Oreochromis niloticus: one gene and its partner. The protein of the gene in region 1 interacts with the protein of each later gene in a biochemical or structural test. Links are inferred from orthologs where the notes say so. Each region holds a gene or a part of one and is shown on either strand. Other genes may lie near its edges.

Region 1 (7,914 bases):
ATTTATTACTTGTGACAGACTTACTTTTGCAGTTGCCAGGATATGATAACCCGAGCTTTTGAAAGACTCTGGTTATCTCGTGCTCCTACTGATAGTGAGGCTGACCTGAGAAGGACAGCACTGATACTGAGACAAAGGCTTCTTGTTAGAGGAAGGTTGCCCATGTTGCTTAAACAATGTCTGAGAACAGAGAGCCCAACACAAACTAAACGTAATTATAATCACAGCTTCTCCATAACAGTATTCACAGACCTGCAGCCTATAGATGTCTGATGTCAGAAAAATGTTGAAAACGGTGGATCATTCTTTTTTTTTTACCTTTTGAAACTTTCAATGATAATGAATTGGAATACGTAACTTAAAAACCCAGATTTTCTTTAAACCATGGACCTGGCAATTGCACATAAGATGTGCACAGATTTGTGATACAAGAATTCTTTTCTTTCTTTCGCAGCATCACATAAAAATGCAAAGCATCCACTCAACCAACCAAGCCAAGGCAACTCCTTGTAGATAAAGAAAACATAAATCATTTGAAGAAGAGCAAACTTGGTTTTCAGAGCAAGAATGAAAAAGCAAGATTTTCTCAAGCTTGTCAACACACCCTCCTAGTCTGTTTCATGGTCACCTTTCAACCTTTGACCCTTTACAAAGACCCCAAAGACCCATCTCATTATAACACACATAAATGCCCATAATTCAACAACCAAAAACAGATTTAAAATGCACCTTTTTGCAGGACTTATTTTACTCTTAACTATAACATGTCTCGACAGAGTGTGTGCTTCCCCACCTCTTTGTCTGTGTGTGTTTTCTGGCATTAAAAGTCATTCATCCCTTTATTTTTAAGCTTGGCTGAGCTCTTTCAATATTCTACATGACCCTGGCTTTGCCCCCCTCCCCCTCCAGTGCATTGAACCGAAATAGCCCCATTTTCTTTCTCTGTATCTTTTTTGCTGAGTTCATATAATAATAACCTTGTAAACATTTGACAAGATTGCAGACAGACAGAGAGAGGAGGCTACAGACAAACTGTGTGTCTCTGTTTGTGTGTGGCCTGTCTCCACTGATTCATTGGTGCCTAACTATTTCATCACCTCCCTATTGTTCCCCGAATTCCCTTCAGGTCCCCCACTTTTTCCCTGATCTTTTCTTTCCACCCTGCCTCTACTCCTACTCTCCACTCTGTGAGAATGCTCAGATGTTAAATGTCATTGGTTGTGCGCATACCAAAAATGTCTGACACAGTCTTAAGCATTTATCCTCCTCTCACTCCCTGCTTTATCCTCCTGCATTTTTAACAGTGTGGAATCCATTCACTGCCGTGCCTTTGCCCTTTCTCCTTTTCATGCCATTCATTGGATTCATCACTACACATTTTGCCACCTCCCCTCCAAACTCTCTACTCTTGCCCTCGTACCCCATCCATCATTGGATTGGAGTCTGAGTCAGACAAGCTCTGACTCACAAACCAAAGCATTTGGCCCCCTGAACCCCTCCTCATCCTTCACATCCTCACATCCAAATAGGAACTGAGACATCCGAATAAAATTCTCCATTCTTCACGTCGGTGTCTAGTAATCTCCCTGCCTGCTAGTCATACATATACTGAGGTCAGCTGCCCAAGAGACAGAGTGACCACAATGGTCAAAACATATAAGCTGACAGGTGGAGGTCCCTGTAGGCATACTGTTTTCATCGACTGGGTTCAATTAAAAGTTCCCAAACAGTCATGTTTTTTGTCAGTAAAGTTCGTTTTAAAAGATAGTTAACATACTTTTGAAATGATTCTGTATAGTGTAGAAAGACTATTTTCTTAAGAAATCGAAAATTTGGCTTTCATCTTTCTATCTTGGCGTTCAGCAAACATTCTCTTTGTTGATTATGATTCACCCATGTCTCAGCATATTTACATTAAATGCCCACCTTTCACTTGTTTCAGTACATCTATCACATTCCAAATCTTGTTCGCATGAACTCCCAGCATGAATAAACATTGATCACCTGATCTCAGAAACATTGCCCTTGAGCAGTTAGTGTTACTGGTTGTTACCTGTCAGGTAAAACTCCCCCTCACTTAGTTTGATTGTATTGTAATATAATAATAGTGTACAATAATATCAATCCTTCACTTGCTTTTGATAACTTTTTTTTTTTTATGTTGGCCAGATGTTGAACGCCCCTGCAGCTGTGGTTAGCCAAAAGCAAATTGAGTTAACAAGGCAGAGAGCTGACTGTGCTAATTGCTCTTTACGATGTTTCCCCCTGCACACAAGGTAACAACTAACAGGCATATTGGGTAAATAAAAAAAGCCGCCCCCGTTTCAGTTAAACCTTACCTGTCAGCGAATCTGCAGATGTTGGTATCCAAACCGAAAACATGACGGTGAGAATCACAAACGACCATGTAGACAAATTCATACTTTCTCTCGAAAACAAATGACCTCGGAAAAAGAGCTTCATGAGGAGAAGAGTCATCCTGGAAACATCACCAGACTCCATTACCGCATCGCAGCAGCTCAGAGATTCAAAGTTGTGTTTTGCTCTAAAGAAAAAGAAAAAATTTCTCTGACTTGGCAGGTACTGAAAATGGTGAGTATCCACAAATCAAGACCCAATCAAAGCGAATCCTCGCGTTTCAGTTCCCCATTTTAAGAAACCTGCGGTTAAAAAAAATCTCTGAATTGCCACAAACTCTTGAGTTTCCCTTATGCTGTTGCTTTGGTTGGTTTCAAACGGAGCAGGGCTGTCTCCATCAAAAACTTTCATCTACCGTGAAAAAGCGCACAGCAAACGACGCTCTAAACTTTCCTTGTCCAAACAAGAGTCTATTTCTAGCGACCAAGAGCGTATTTTTAAACCAGTCTTTCCTGTAGCCGGTTGTCCAAAGTCTCTATCCTGCCCACAGGTTCCCTGCGACTCCAGACATTCCCCTGGCTTTCTTATCCCTCTCCCCCTTTCAAACACGATTCAAATTCCTCAACTCAAGTTCTTTCCACCCTCCTCCTCATCCTCCTCCTTCTCCACAGTCTCCCTCCTTTTCTCAAAGGATGTGAGAAACTCTGCGGCATGCTGATTGTCTCGGCCCAATCTCCCATTCGCTTTTTAATTACACAGTGATGCCCTGAAGTTGTAAATGTCTCCGTAAATCAACAGTTTCGCGCTTGAAACACTGTTTCAAACACAAGCCTGTGCATTTCAGTGTGTGTAACATGACAGCATCATGTACATATATATAATGTTACAGACCTGGCTTTTTAATAATAAACTTTTTTCTTTTTTTCCTAAGAAAAATATATTTTTTATCCCGCTGTCAAAGTTGATTGCTTATCCACATCTATTGTTTTTCTGTATACTGTTTTACAATAATTAAAACATATAAATGTTTAAAAGTACTACTATTAAAACACCATATCCAGGTTTAGCGGGATTTGTTATTAATTCTTCATTATCTTGCTGCTGTTTAAAACATTTGAATATGTCGATTTGTTATTCCAACCAGTCAAAAGCAAACGGGATGTCAGCAAAAATGCACAGAAAAATATTCAAACTATTTTTGTTTGCATTTACTCCATTGTACACAAACAGAGCCACCATCACGATGTCTGGGAATTTGTTTGAAAATCCGGATTCAGTCATAACAATTTGAAGGACTCTCAGCTGTAGTCTAAATAACTTTCCTTGATTCACATCTAAGTTACTGTTGTAGATCGCGATGTCTGAAGTGTGTTCTGTGTGTGCGTGAGGAAATGCTTCTTGCTGCGTGAGAGAAGTCCCTGCAGGGTTCACATATCATTCATGAATGAATTGATTTGCTGTGTATATTTCTGTTTTTTTTCTTCACTGAAAACAATGAGAGGGGCTGGAACTCAGGTTGCGAAGAACTCAGTCCGACTGCCCCTTTAAGAGTAGCTCTGCGGACAGTGTTGTGTTCCCAGGGTTTTTAATGGAGACAGAGAGCCACTGAGAAAGACCCCATTGTATATTCTCTCCTTTCAATCGGGGCTTGAGCAATGGTGCTCTCACTGCTCCCCGATAGAAGCACAGAGTGGAGGGAGGGAAGAGGGTCGCAGAGGGTGGTCCTGCATAAGAAAGCGGGGCGTTCAACTCCAAAACACAAAGTTTCGGGGCTAGTTGGACCTGGAAGGAGTGAATGTTTGGGTTTAAAGGGGGAGGGGCATCAAGGAGTGTTTAGGTTCAAGTCACGCTAAAATCCAGGAAACCTGATTCATCACACACCAAGACCCAAAGATTTAAAGACTTTTACACGAAGCTCAAGTGGATTAACAGAATTAAAAGCGAATGGTCTAGGTTATAAAACAAACTATATGGGCCCCAGCTACTCACAGAGTAGTAGGCTACTGCTGAGCTCATTTCCCTGATAATCTCAAATGCTTATTAACAAAACAACCTGTCTGAAAGAAGAGTGTCTATTGGCTGGAAGACATGAGAAACACCTTCCTGCTACTCTCCCAGCTACACATCCCCCCGGTGGTGCTGATAATGAGCCGAGGGCCCTTTTTTCCCCTTCTCCTTACTGCAGACTTGACAGCCAAACTGCTCCATTGAACCCTGATGATTCATTAAAATAAACTGTAGTGACTGACTGCCTGAAGTTGAAGTCTCTTATGCCCCCTGCTGGGGACATTGTTCAAACTGCAACTGAAATCATGGAAGAACAATCAGTCCTGAGAAACTCTCTGAACAAACCTAACTGAAGACTGATCATTTAAAGGTGGTTAGTTTAGGCTCCTGACCCAAACTGACCTCCTCATCGGTCAAACCCATTGGTGTTTTTGTTATGACTTGAGTATAGCCGCCAATGGATCTAACACCGACATTTGCTGATAAATCTGAGCTATACAAGATTGTTGTGTGAGCTCAGATTCAGCCAAATGTACAAAACCTATTGGGAAAACATTTCATTTGAGCGGGGCAGCAATGCCTAACATAGTGCAAAAACAACACAAAAGCATAACAGGGTGAAAAGGCGATGTCCTCAAATAGTAGAGTCAATCCCCTGATTTAAATCAAATTGAGCTGCATTCGATCAGACTGAAGACAGACGGACTCAGCAAAAAGCAGAAGGTGAAAGCTTACTTCAGCCATAGAGTGTAAAAGATTTTATACTCAATACTTGATATGATGATTTTTTCTACACTCCCAAATAATTTGAAAGCACAATGTAATCAATATTCTTCTATCAGTACTGATATCATTTTTTATTTTAAAGTTGACTAAACCGGGCCAAAAACACCAGATATTATTACTTCATGTTTGTTCTTTGCTCTGAGAGGTGTGCAGCAAGATTAAACCTTGCAATGAGAGCTTTGTGCTGTTTTGTGTTCATCTCACTGGTGATATTAGCCAGTAATAGGAACACTGAAATAGCAACAGACAGCAAAGCAAATGACATCTATGTGCTACAGTGTAAGATCCTGTTTTTCTGTCACACATAGAGTTCAAAAGGAGGACTGATCTGTCTGATGGGAAAATAAAATTTCCAGTGGGATTATCTGATTTTATGTCATCTCCTGGCTTTGACTAACTCCTTAATAGCTCTGCTTGTCATAAACTTTAAACAGAGACAGATATGTCTGTGAACAAAAACCTAGAGACACGCATGGGCTGCAGTAACAACTTCAAACAAATGCTTTGGCATGTTGGTGATCCCATGTGGTATGTTACACATTACTGTAGGCAGATCACTAAACCAGAGGTCAAAGATTCAAGTCTCATGTATTCAAGGTGTTAAAGGTGCAATATATAATGTACATTGAAGGTGTGTGAATATTTTTGCCCATTTTATTTTCAAATTGCTTGCTGAAATCTGCTTCCTGTATTTAGCCCCCACATCTTTCAGACTACCACCACCTTACAACCCATTTATTGAAGACCGGTCTCATCAAAGCATGAGAGTGTCTCTCTAAGATCCCTCCTGTTACATAACGTCATTCTAACAGCGATTAGCAAACCCAGAATGTCACAGTGAATAGCATTTAATCTCACTTGGATATATGATGATGAAAGACATGTAATATCTTAGAGGTGGTTACTTGGATGGGGCCACATATCCCAGGTTTGAACAGATTAAAATCTTGGTTGGGCCTATCCACAGCAGTGCAACAACAGGCTTCCAGCTGTGCAAGAATAATAATCCCTCTGTTTTAATCTTTTTGAGCAGGAGGTGATCCGAGCCCTTGTTCGGAAGCCATCCAAGGGCGCAGGGATACGCTAAGATACAGGTTTGACAGGTTTACCAGTTTAATGATAAGCCATAATGCACCTCTCATATTTTCTATGAGGAACTGGAAATTGAAGCTTGTGTGTGTATGTTGCTCAGGGAGGGTGTCCAACATGACATCTGGTAATGGTTGCAGTATAAATCATAAATCATCTTTTTGGTGGGATTTATGCTTCGCTGTTATGATTATTTGGGCCTCTTATGCTCATATGATGTTTATATGTGCATAACCAGGCATGGCTCCAATTCCACTCACAACAGCATGGGTTTAAAGAGGGAAGGCCTAAATAGTGGGGATTATTCTCTCTCCCGCTTCTCCCTCTCCCTCTTTCTCTTACCCTATTTTTCAGCATCAGTGCTCTGCCTTTCATTTCAGTTCCTGTTGCTGTGATGACCACAGACATGAGCACAGCAGGTGTTCATCGAGGCTTCCTCAAAAAATATGGTAGGCCTGCTTCTATCCTTTTATCCACAGTAACCCCTCTGCAGTCGTCATGTAAAGTTTGATGTGAATGTTTTGATCTGATTTTGTTTACTGCATCCTTTTGTGCTCATTCTGCAAATTAGGCCAAAGTTAGTAACTATATATGCTTTTTGAAGATCTCAGTCGCTTTGCTGTCAAATATGACCCAACTGTGTCTTCAATTTAGATTTTCTGATTGTCATGCTTATTTTCTCCAAGGTGTAATAAATTCTTAGTGTTTATTCATTTAAAGCCAGTATAGATTATATGGCTGCTGACTTCACAATCGGTGGAAAACAACACTGTCTCAGAACACCAATCCAACTCTTACATGAGCAATGTCAGCCTAAGAGCCAGCCAGTATGATATAATCAATCCCAGATGTGTTTTTACAGAATGACGAGATGGTAATTTTCAAGCCAAGTCATGAACCGGCTCTTGGCCAGCGCCTCTCTTTACTTATATTACATCTGTTTTTTATTGCCCTTGTTTTCATTTCAGAGTGGCGTCACAGTTGATAACAGTTAAGTAGCTATTTTGGTACTTCAAATGTTTTTCTTCCTCTCTTGACTTATGCCGACTAATAGCACTATTAAAATTTAGGGATATTAATCTATAGGTTGAAATCTGCAGTCAAATTAATGTATAGTAAGGTATAGTAAATGCCATAATAACAAACAATCAATGAAAAATTCCTATACCCCCCTCTCTTGCTCGCTTGCAAATCCACCTGTTCAACTTTAATCCTGTATGGAGAAATAAAGTAGATCTTGTCTGTCAACATGTGCTCACCTTCTATTGTCTGCAGTCTAACACGGTCGTGTGTGTCCTGTCTTGAAAACTCTGGAAACTCATTGTTCCAAAAATTTGAATATTTCGGTTTCTTTTTAATACAAAAAAGCATTACATTTAACTCAGGCTGTTTCTATTGATTTTTGATTGTTATGGATCTGCCTTGTTTCAAGGACAAGGTATCATTATTTTTTGTATTATTATTGGTATTGTTGTTGTTGTTTTCATAAGTAATGCTGCGACAACTGACTGTTGTAATTTTTCATCAGTGTGATTTTGAGGCTGCTGTTTGTGCTCTTAAAACCCCCCAAACAATTTATTGGACATTGTTATAGTTGTGTTCATGTCACTACAATAAGTATCCAATTATATCACTGAAACTGACAAAAATAGAACATTTCTCTCAAAGAACCTG
Region 2 (7,501 bases), on another chromosome or scaffold:
CCTCAACAGCACCATGCAAAACCCCGTCAGCACATACATTGGTGGAATACCCGGTTAGTAATGATTAAGAACTTTAAGCATAAATTATCATTGATGTGTGATCAAAATGAATAAAGTGTTTTGCAATTTTCTTGGTTTCTCTTGAATGTGTTGCTCTTCCTGCTGGATCTGTGAGCCTTGGTTGAACAGTGGTGCTTTGAGCTGCTAATGCTAATATCCACATGTTGCCATAGTCACAGTGACAATGGTGACGGCACGCTGAAGCTTAGCAGGAGGTGTTTACTGTTTTTCATGTTTCATGATTAGCACTAAGCAGAGCTGAGAATGAAAGGAATCAGAAAACCTTTAACTAGATGACTGCACTAGATTAAGAGCACCAAAACAAGGACTCATTCATATTGAAAGTAACATGAACAATGATACATAGTGTCATAACAACCCATCAAACAGTTACCGTCTCTCTCTCCTTCAGAAGACATCCCTTTGCCTACCACCCCTGTGACGGCCTTTTACCACGGCTGCATGGAGATCAGTATCAACGGCCAGCAGCTGGACTTCGATGAAGCTCTCAGCAAACATAACAGCATCAAGTCCCACTCGTGTCCTCCTGTCACTACCTCGGATGATGACCGAGAGGTGACACACATGTACAGAAAGTGACCCGATTTAAAAAAGCACATTGCATTAAAAAGCTCTTAAATTAGGCAGAGTCCCACAGGGGAAACTTCTTGGGATATTTTGGAAAGAGAATCTAGAGAGGAGGAGAAGAAGAGACGGAGGCAGAGAGTGATTTTAAGCTTTTCATCTCTACAGTGTTCTTGTTTGTACCCTGACCTATTTTGTTCTGGTATTGCTTTAGTGAGTCACAACAAAGGCTGGCTTACCAGTGAGGTAGCCGGAAGCTGGATGACATAGGTGTAGCAGTTTTTGTCTGCATTAAGTTGTTTTCCAGGAAAGTGGAAACAAAAAGGAGCTGAGCTCTGCAGCGTGCATGCCATGAGTTGAGTAACAGATGGTTATGTTTGTGTAGAAAAATAAACAAATGGTCACTGCTGACCAGACTGCGAGACCACCTGCATCTTCGTCCCTGCTGCTGCTGAATCATGGTACTCTCTCTAAATTGTTTAAAAACAACTAGTTGAAATTAATGTTTGTGGCAGGAGAAACCACAGAGGAGATATCTGAGCCTTCAGGCGTTCCTATCAAATTCTGTTTCATCTCCTTTGTTTAAATCACCATCTGGAGCTCTGCATTTCCGAAGCGTTGCTTCAATTTACCACTCTTGTCATCAGAGGTGTACACCAGTCATAATTACAGCATTTATTGTTCTCCTGTTTCTGTCCTTATCTTAAGGGCTCTCCTGGTTGTCATTTGTTTCCACTTTGTATATAAAACATGCCATCTTTAATATATAACTTAAATGTAGTTGTTTGGTGTTGTGTTTGATGTTTGTTTTAATAAAACTGTATCAAAGCAACCTTATTATTGGATTCCAGCCCTGCTTTGTTTTGGTCTCTCGCCGCTGCACAAAACAAGGTCAGAGACTGGGAACAGATTCAGAATTTAGTTTCATGATTCAAAATGTGTCATGATTATATCAGTGTCTTGGTGAGTTTTCTCATGTTCAGCAGAAAAACCTTGAACCCATACTTCCCAGCACTGCATCCGCCCAAGTACTTGGTGACACAACAAACTCATAAATCTGCCATTTACAAAACACAGTTTGGAGGTGTTTTCACATCAAGTGATGTGCTTTTTAATTTTCTGCAAAGCCCACTGTTGCGCAGATAAGAACCAGGCAAAACAGGACAAATGTGGACTGAAATCTAAAGAAATTACTGAAAAACATGTTGCACAACTTCCAGAGTAAACGAAACAAGTGCTGTTACTTTGCAAAGGACTGGGATAAAAATAAACTTCCCTGAAAATGAAAGTAAAAGTGGGCATAAGACTATTGAAAAATACTCAGTTACAAGAAACTGTTGAACTTTGAACACTGTAAACAAGTATCCAAGCCCTGTATACTCAACAGAAGACTAAACACACATTATCCATGCAGCTGAATGGCTCCTTGTGTAGCTGTATCATTATGTGTACCATAAATTGGTATTTAAGCACTTAATGTCATTTCACTACTTTAAATGCTGTTTAGTAGCTAAATCTATAACAAAGAACATATTGTATAAGTAAATGCTATGACCAATGCTGAACTATCAGTTGTTTTTCTACTGTGAAATCTGCAAAGCTGTTCAAATGATGGACTATACTTGGGGGGTATGTGTATTTTATTTACATTTTTGTTCCTTTATAGCTACTCCACTACTTCCTAGCTTGACTAATCAGTATTTCACACACCCTATAATGCCTACAAAAAAACAATACCGTAAGTGGTAAGTTTTAAGATACTTGGAATCAATTAGTAGCTTAAGTAGGGGCATTTCCAGGACTTCTTTACATGGAGAGACACAGGGGAGACCAAGAAAAGGGAGGGAAGGGCCTCCATGAAGTCTGGATATTCAATCAGAAGGAAAATCAGTGTAGAAATCTGGTATAAAAAATACTGGGGAGAATTTTTAGACTCATGTGGAGCCCTGTGTCCTATTACAAATTTATCATGTGAAAAGTGGTGCTATAAATAATTTTTAACATCATTTTGTGTTGAATGATTGTTTTGCAAAGTTGGGAAAAAAACAACTTTTTGTTTAAGTAAAAGTTATAATCATGATTAAAAAAACCTGACTGACCGGGCCAATATATCTGATTAAAATATGTTTTAAATTAATTTTAAAGTAATTAAAATAAACACATGTACACATACTATTATACTCTTAATTATTTATATATTACTAGGTAGCTTTATCTATAATAATAGAGTTTATAATAATTATTATTATTATTATTATAATAACAACAATTATAATTATAATAATTAAAGTAACAAAAGCTTTGAAAATAAATAGTACTGAGAATTAAAAAAAAAAAAAAGTACAATCACATTAAACTTGTACTTATAGTAAAGCCTACAGTAAAGTAAAATACTGTCAGATTCATACTGGTTTTACTCCTGGTCTCCTTCAGTGTTGTTGGGCACTCTTAAGACTAACAGCTCCAGTTAAAGTTAGAAGTCAGAATTTCAAACTTTCAATTGGAATGCCCCTTCAAGATGGATTTCCAGTTTGGAAAGTCGGAGCAGCCCCACCAACCTTGAATTCACAATCCAAGATTATGGCAATGCGCATAAACGTTAAAATGTAAAACTTGAAATTTGTATTGCCATGGTTTTTTCCCCATTGTGTTTGTGACTCGCTAAAAAAGGCATATGCAGTCCGCTGACCAGGCTCTGTTCATGAATGTGCTGCAGTCGTGTTTTTGAACACACACACAAAAAAATCCAAGCATTGTGCTGTACTGCTTGCGATGCACAAATAGGTCTACCTTGCGAAGAAGAAAACCAAATCATGTTTTTTTCTTGCTTTTCTGACTTTAGTAATGGAACACGCTCAACTTAGGAGTGACATCATTCCTGCTTCTGACATGTGACATAGTGAAACATTTGCGATAACTGGCAATGAGTATTTTACACCACTGTGGAGAAATTATGGCCCACTCTTATTTGCTGAATTGTTTTAATTCAGCCACACTGGAGGGGTTTCCAGCATGGATTGCTTGTTCAAGACTTTAGTTTGTTCCAAAAAGTTCAGTTTTTTCAATAAGCAAATAGGCTTGGCTAGTGAAACTGAACTCAGCTTTTCAGAAAATGTGGTTACTCATCGTTAATTCATGTTGATTTAACAGGCAAATATGACAAATATGCAAAAAAGAAAAAAGAAATCAGGAAGGGGAAAATACGTTTTCACAGCTCTTCAAAGTTTTTATCATTAACTAAAACTAAACTAAAAACTAAAATAAAATGTGAAAAAAATTAAAATTAAAATGAAAAACTAGACTTGAAATATAAATATAAAAGACGTATGATTTGTTTTAATATTTGTTGGTTTTTTCTCAATTTTATTATAACTTGCCTGGCAAGACACCGAGGAAAATGTTTATTGAGACTTTGGTTGTCTAAAATACTAAGTAAACTGCTTTCAAGAAGTTCTGTGTTTTTATTGTAACAATTGCACTGATTTACTTTTTAATTTTTTAAAAGTAACAGAAAAACTAATTAAAACTATAAACTAAAACTAAACATTTCCAAACAATAATAGTTAAGCTGAAATAAGAAAATCCACTTTGGAGATTAAACTGAATTAAAAAGAAAAAGTCAAAATGGGGGGAAAAAATAAGAATTAGCATAGTCTGTGCCACCTCATGCCCCCCTTTGGTTATGCCCCTGGACTAACGTTTAAAATACTTTTGAAGCCATTGCAAAGTACTCGAGTATTGTTTACTTTAATAGAAGTATTTACTTACTAACCACAAGTGCAACACCCAAATCACGGATTGCGTGCCAGTTAAACAGATTTTTTTTCCCCCAGTGTGATGCGCGCGCACACACACGCACACAGGCGAACACACACAGAGGAGGGAGGGATGAAGAGGTGTCTGCATCACTTCAAACTCCTGCCTGCACTTCTCAGAGAGCTACTCCTCCTCCTGAAGCAGAGACGAGCAGTGTTCCTCCGCAGACTGTCCGGTCCGCAAACGGCTAAGTTTGGTCCCACACACCGCGATGGGGACCAGCTGAACCGCACGCGAGGGGGGTAGAAGAGGTCGGTCGTGCAGTTTCCCCGTGTAGTAGTAGTGAGCGTCCTGGAGGAGGAGGAGGAGGGGGACACAGACACACAAGCGCGCGCGACGTTCGTGTCCTATCGTAGACGGTAACGGCCAACGGTCGGAGCTAGTCACCTGAATACCTGCGGCGTTTCGCACCGACGCCTGCGCTTACACCGAGAGAGGCTGAGGAGGGGGTGGGACGGGGCAGGAGAAAGTTTCTCGAGCTTGGCGCAAACACAGCGGTCAAACAATGCGGCTGACCCCGACAAAGTCCTTTTCATCGGCAGCGCTGCTAATCCTGCTGCTCGTCCGCTGGTCCGACAGCAGTAAGTAAACAGTTACATGCTAGGCGGCTAGCTAGCCCGCTAAACCCTCTTTGACATTTGAGTTGCAGCTGGTGATGATACACGTCTCGGTTATTGCCAGTACTGACGGTTAACGTTAGATATTTCGCAACATCCCTCACACTGTTTTCCTGCGCCAGTGTATTGCTTAACCGCAGAGTTGATTGACATTCACTTGCTCTTCTTTTTTTTTTTTTTTAAAGGTGACTAAACTTTGCCCGTTTTGCTCTCTTTTGCCCTTCCTTCTTTAGTCTCACTGTCCCCTCAAGAGGCGAACCAGTTTCTGAGCAGACACAAGAGGGCGAATCAAGTCTTCGAGGAGACGAAGCAAGGACACTTGGAGAGGGAGTGCGTGGAGGAAAAGTGCAGCAAGGAGGAGGCCAGAGAAGTGTTTGAAAACGACCCGGAGACGGTGAGTGGTGTGTTCACAAGTTAGTCTCAGCTGTAGCTCAGAAAAGGCTGCATGCAAGCAAAGGCGGGCTTCCTTCTCATCCTGTGAGGAGGTACTGCAGTACCACCAACTCCATCAGAGCACAATTACCAGCTGAGGTTGTGTTATGTACTGTAACTTCTGGGAGGCTGGGTGTTTACATCATGTTCATAATGACTACACTCACACTAATGATTCATTGTCTGGGCTGCTTGCCGCTAGTATTCATGCTTCAATAAGTCCAGCATGCTGATAGCTGTCAGGACACATAATATTCCCATGTCTGGGACTTGGCCGCTTTCTGCATCTTTTGTTTTGTTTCTGTGACAGACACTGAGTCAGCATGACTCTACTGTCATTTGTGAAATCCCTTTTTTATATATATATATATATATATATATATATATATATATATATATATATATATATATATATATATCTCCAATCTCCTCTTCATATTGACATGTGTCCTTAAGTTGATAACAAATATGGGATGTAGCTGGATGTCTTTCTGTTTCTTTTTCTCATCGTGTTGCATCTTCTGATGTTACACATGCACACTTTTGCTCATGCATTTCATTCAACATTACTGTGTACGTTGCCCCGCTAATCTGAAGACACGTTTCCTACTTGACATTTAACATTGTACAAAATCCATCACACGGGCCATGCTCAGAAACCTGTACTGGAGATTAGTTTCCATTCTGCATTCATGAGTGTACACGTCAGCCTTTCCATCCATGTGAATTCATAAGCCTATTTTATATGTACTACAGTGTGCTGTATGTGCAAACAGGCTATAAATAATCCAAAGTGTTTAGTAAAACACATGGAACTTGGGCTTCTTGGCCTTCCTCAGGAAGATGATATGTGTTACAGCAAATAATAGTGCAGATGCCTGCCCAGAATCTTCTGCAACAAGTCTACCCTAACTTGGGTGGATGCTTTTGATTGTGAACTCTGTAATTTTTCTTAATTTCTACATCTGACATTCATATTCAACGGTTTTAAGTGGTGGACTTGTGTTGGTGATGTGCTGCCCTTTAAATGTCACATTCACTCCTTAAGATTTGATATTGTGAATTGTAGCAGAGAGGGAGCGAATGAGGCAATCGATGACTTAAGATTACTTGTAAGATTAGTCTGGCGGTGAGGGAGGAAGGATTAAACTGAAGCTGAGGTGGATTCTGGTAAAAAGGGTGAAGTCGGGTGATGTCTGAATCAGATCCACGCATGCCACCGGCAGAACACCAAAGTACTCCTGTAAGTTTTGAACCTTGTCGTGACACAAAGCTGCAGTCTCACTCGTATCTGCATTATTCATCCTGAAAGGGCCTGTCTCTGACTCTGCATTTTATTCTGCTGCAGCTTTGTGGCTCTGCAGAGAGGGAAAGAGAGAGAGGCTGGGGTGTTCCCAGTGCTTATGATCATCCTTGGCATGGACAGTCATACCAAGTTTCTGGTCTCTTATTTATTTGATGACATACAAATGAGAAGAAGGTGTCAAAACTAACTTGCTCAGTGTGAGGTTCAAATGTAGTCGTTTTGGTTAACCTTTGAAGGTCAGCTTCCATTTTAGATCAGTGTATAATCAGCCTTTACCCCACACAGAATTTTGCCTGATTAGTTTCACTTAATAAGACACCGGTTTCACGCAAGCCTGCTGCATCTGGCATCTACTGCAGCATGAGTGTGACTCTGTGCCTCCAGAGTCTCAGATTTTGGCCTACATGTGGAGAAGTGCTGCAGCCAGAAAGCAGGAGGGATGGTACTACTACCAGGAATGCAGAGAATGCTGAAGAAGCTCCTGTCATAGAGCTGCACCCTGTTAGAGCAGATTACAGAGTAATCATAGCCTAATCTCTGCATCGCACTGCCACATTTCATGATTGTTTATGAACTGTTTTTCCTGCAGAAGTGGGCTATAAAAAAACTCCAAAAACAAATGCACAATTAAGTCAAGTATAAGAAGAAACCTGTTACTAATTTTAAGAGTTCATTGAAACTGTAT

Evidence for each region.
Region 2: the proteins of axl (region 1) and gas6 form a complex in vitro, tested with the Homo sapiens proteins (2 studies listed by BioGRID and IntAct, with this or other methods). The link is inferred for Oreochromis niloticus from reciprocal best matches to the Homo sapiens genes AXL and GAS6.

What each region holds. Positions count from the first base shown.
Region 1 is NC_031979.2:33,637,256-33,645,169, forward strand, and holds the start of axl (tyrosine-protein kinase receptor UFO), read right to left. Parts: upstream 3,014-7,914; 5' UTR 2,503-3,013; coding exon 2,340-2,502; intron 1-2,339. Other genes in the region: uncharacterized protein LOC102077316, read left to right, coding at 6,635-6,689. UniProt on the Homo sapiens protein: Receptor tyrosine kinase that transduces signals from the extracellular matrix into the cytoplasm by binding growth factor GAS6 and which is thus regulating many physiological processes including cell survival, cell proliferation, migration and differentiation.
Region 2 is NC_031965.2:16,477,515-16,485,015, reverse strand, and holds the start of gas6 (growth arrest-specific protein 6), read left to right. Parts: upstream 1-4,498; 5' UTR 4,499-4,966; coding exon 4,967-5,042; intron 5,043-5,311; coding exon 5,312-5,472; intron 5,473-7,501. Other genes in the region: pros1 (vitamin K-dependent protein S), read left to right, coding at 1-53, 473-660. UniProt on the Homo sapiens protein: Ligand for tyrosine-protein kinase receptors AXL, TYRO3 and MER whose signaling is implicated in cell growth and survival, cell adhesion and cell migration.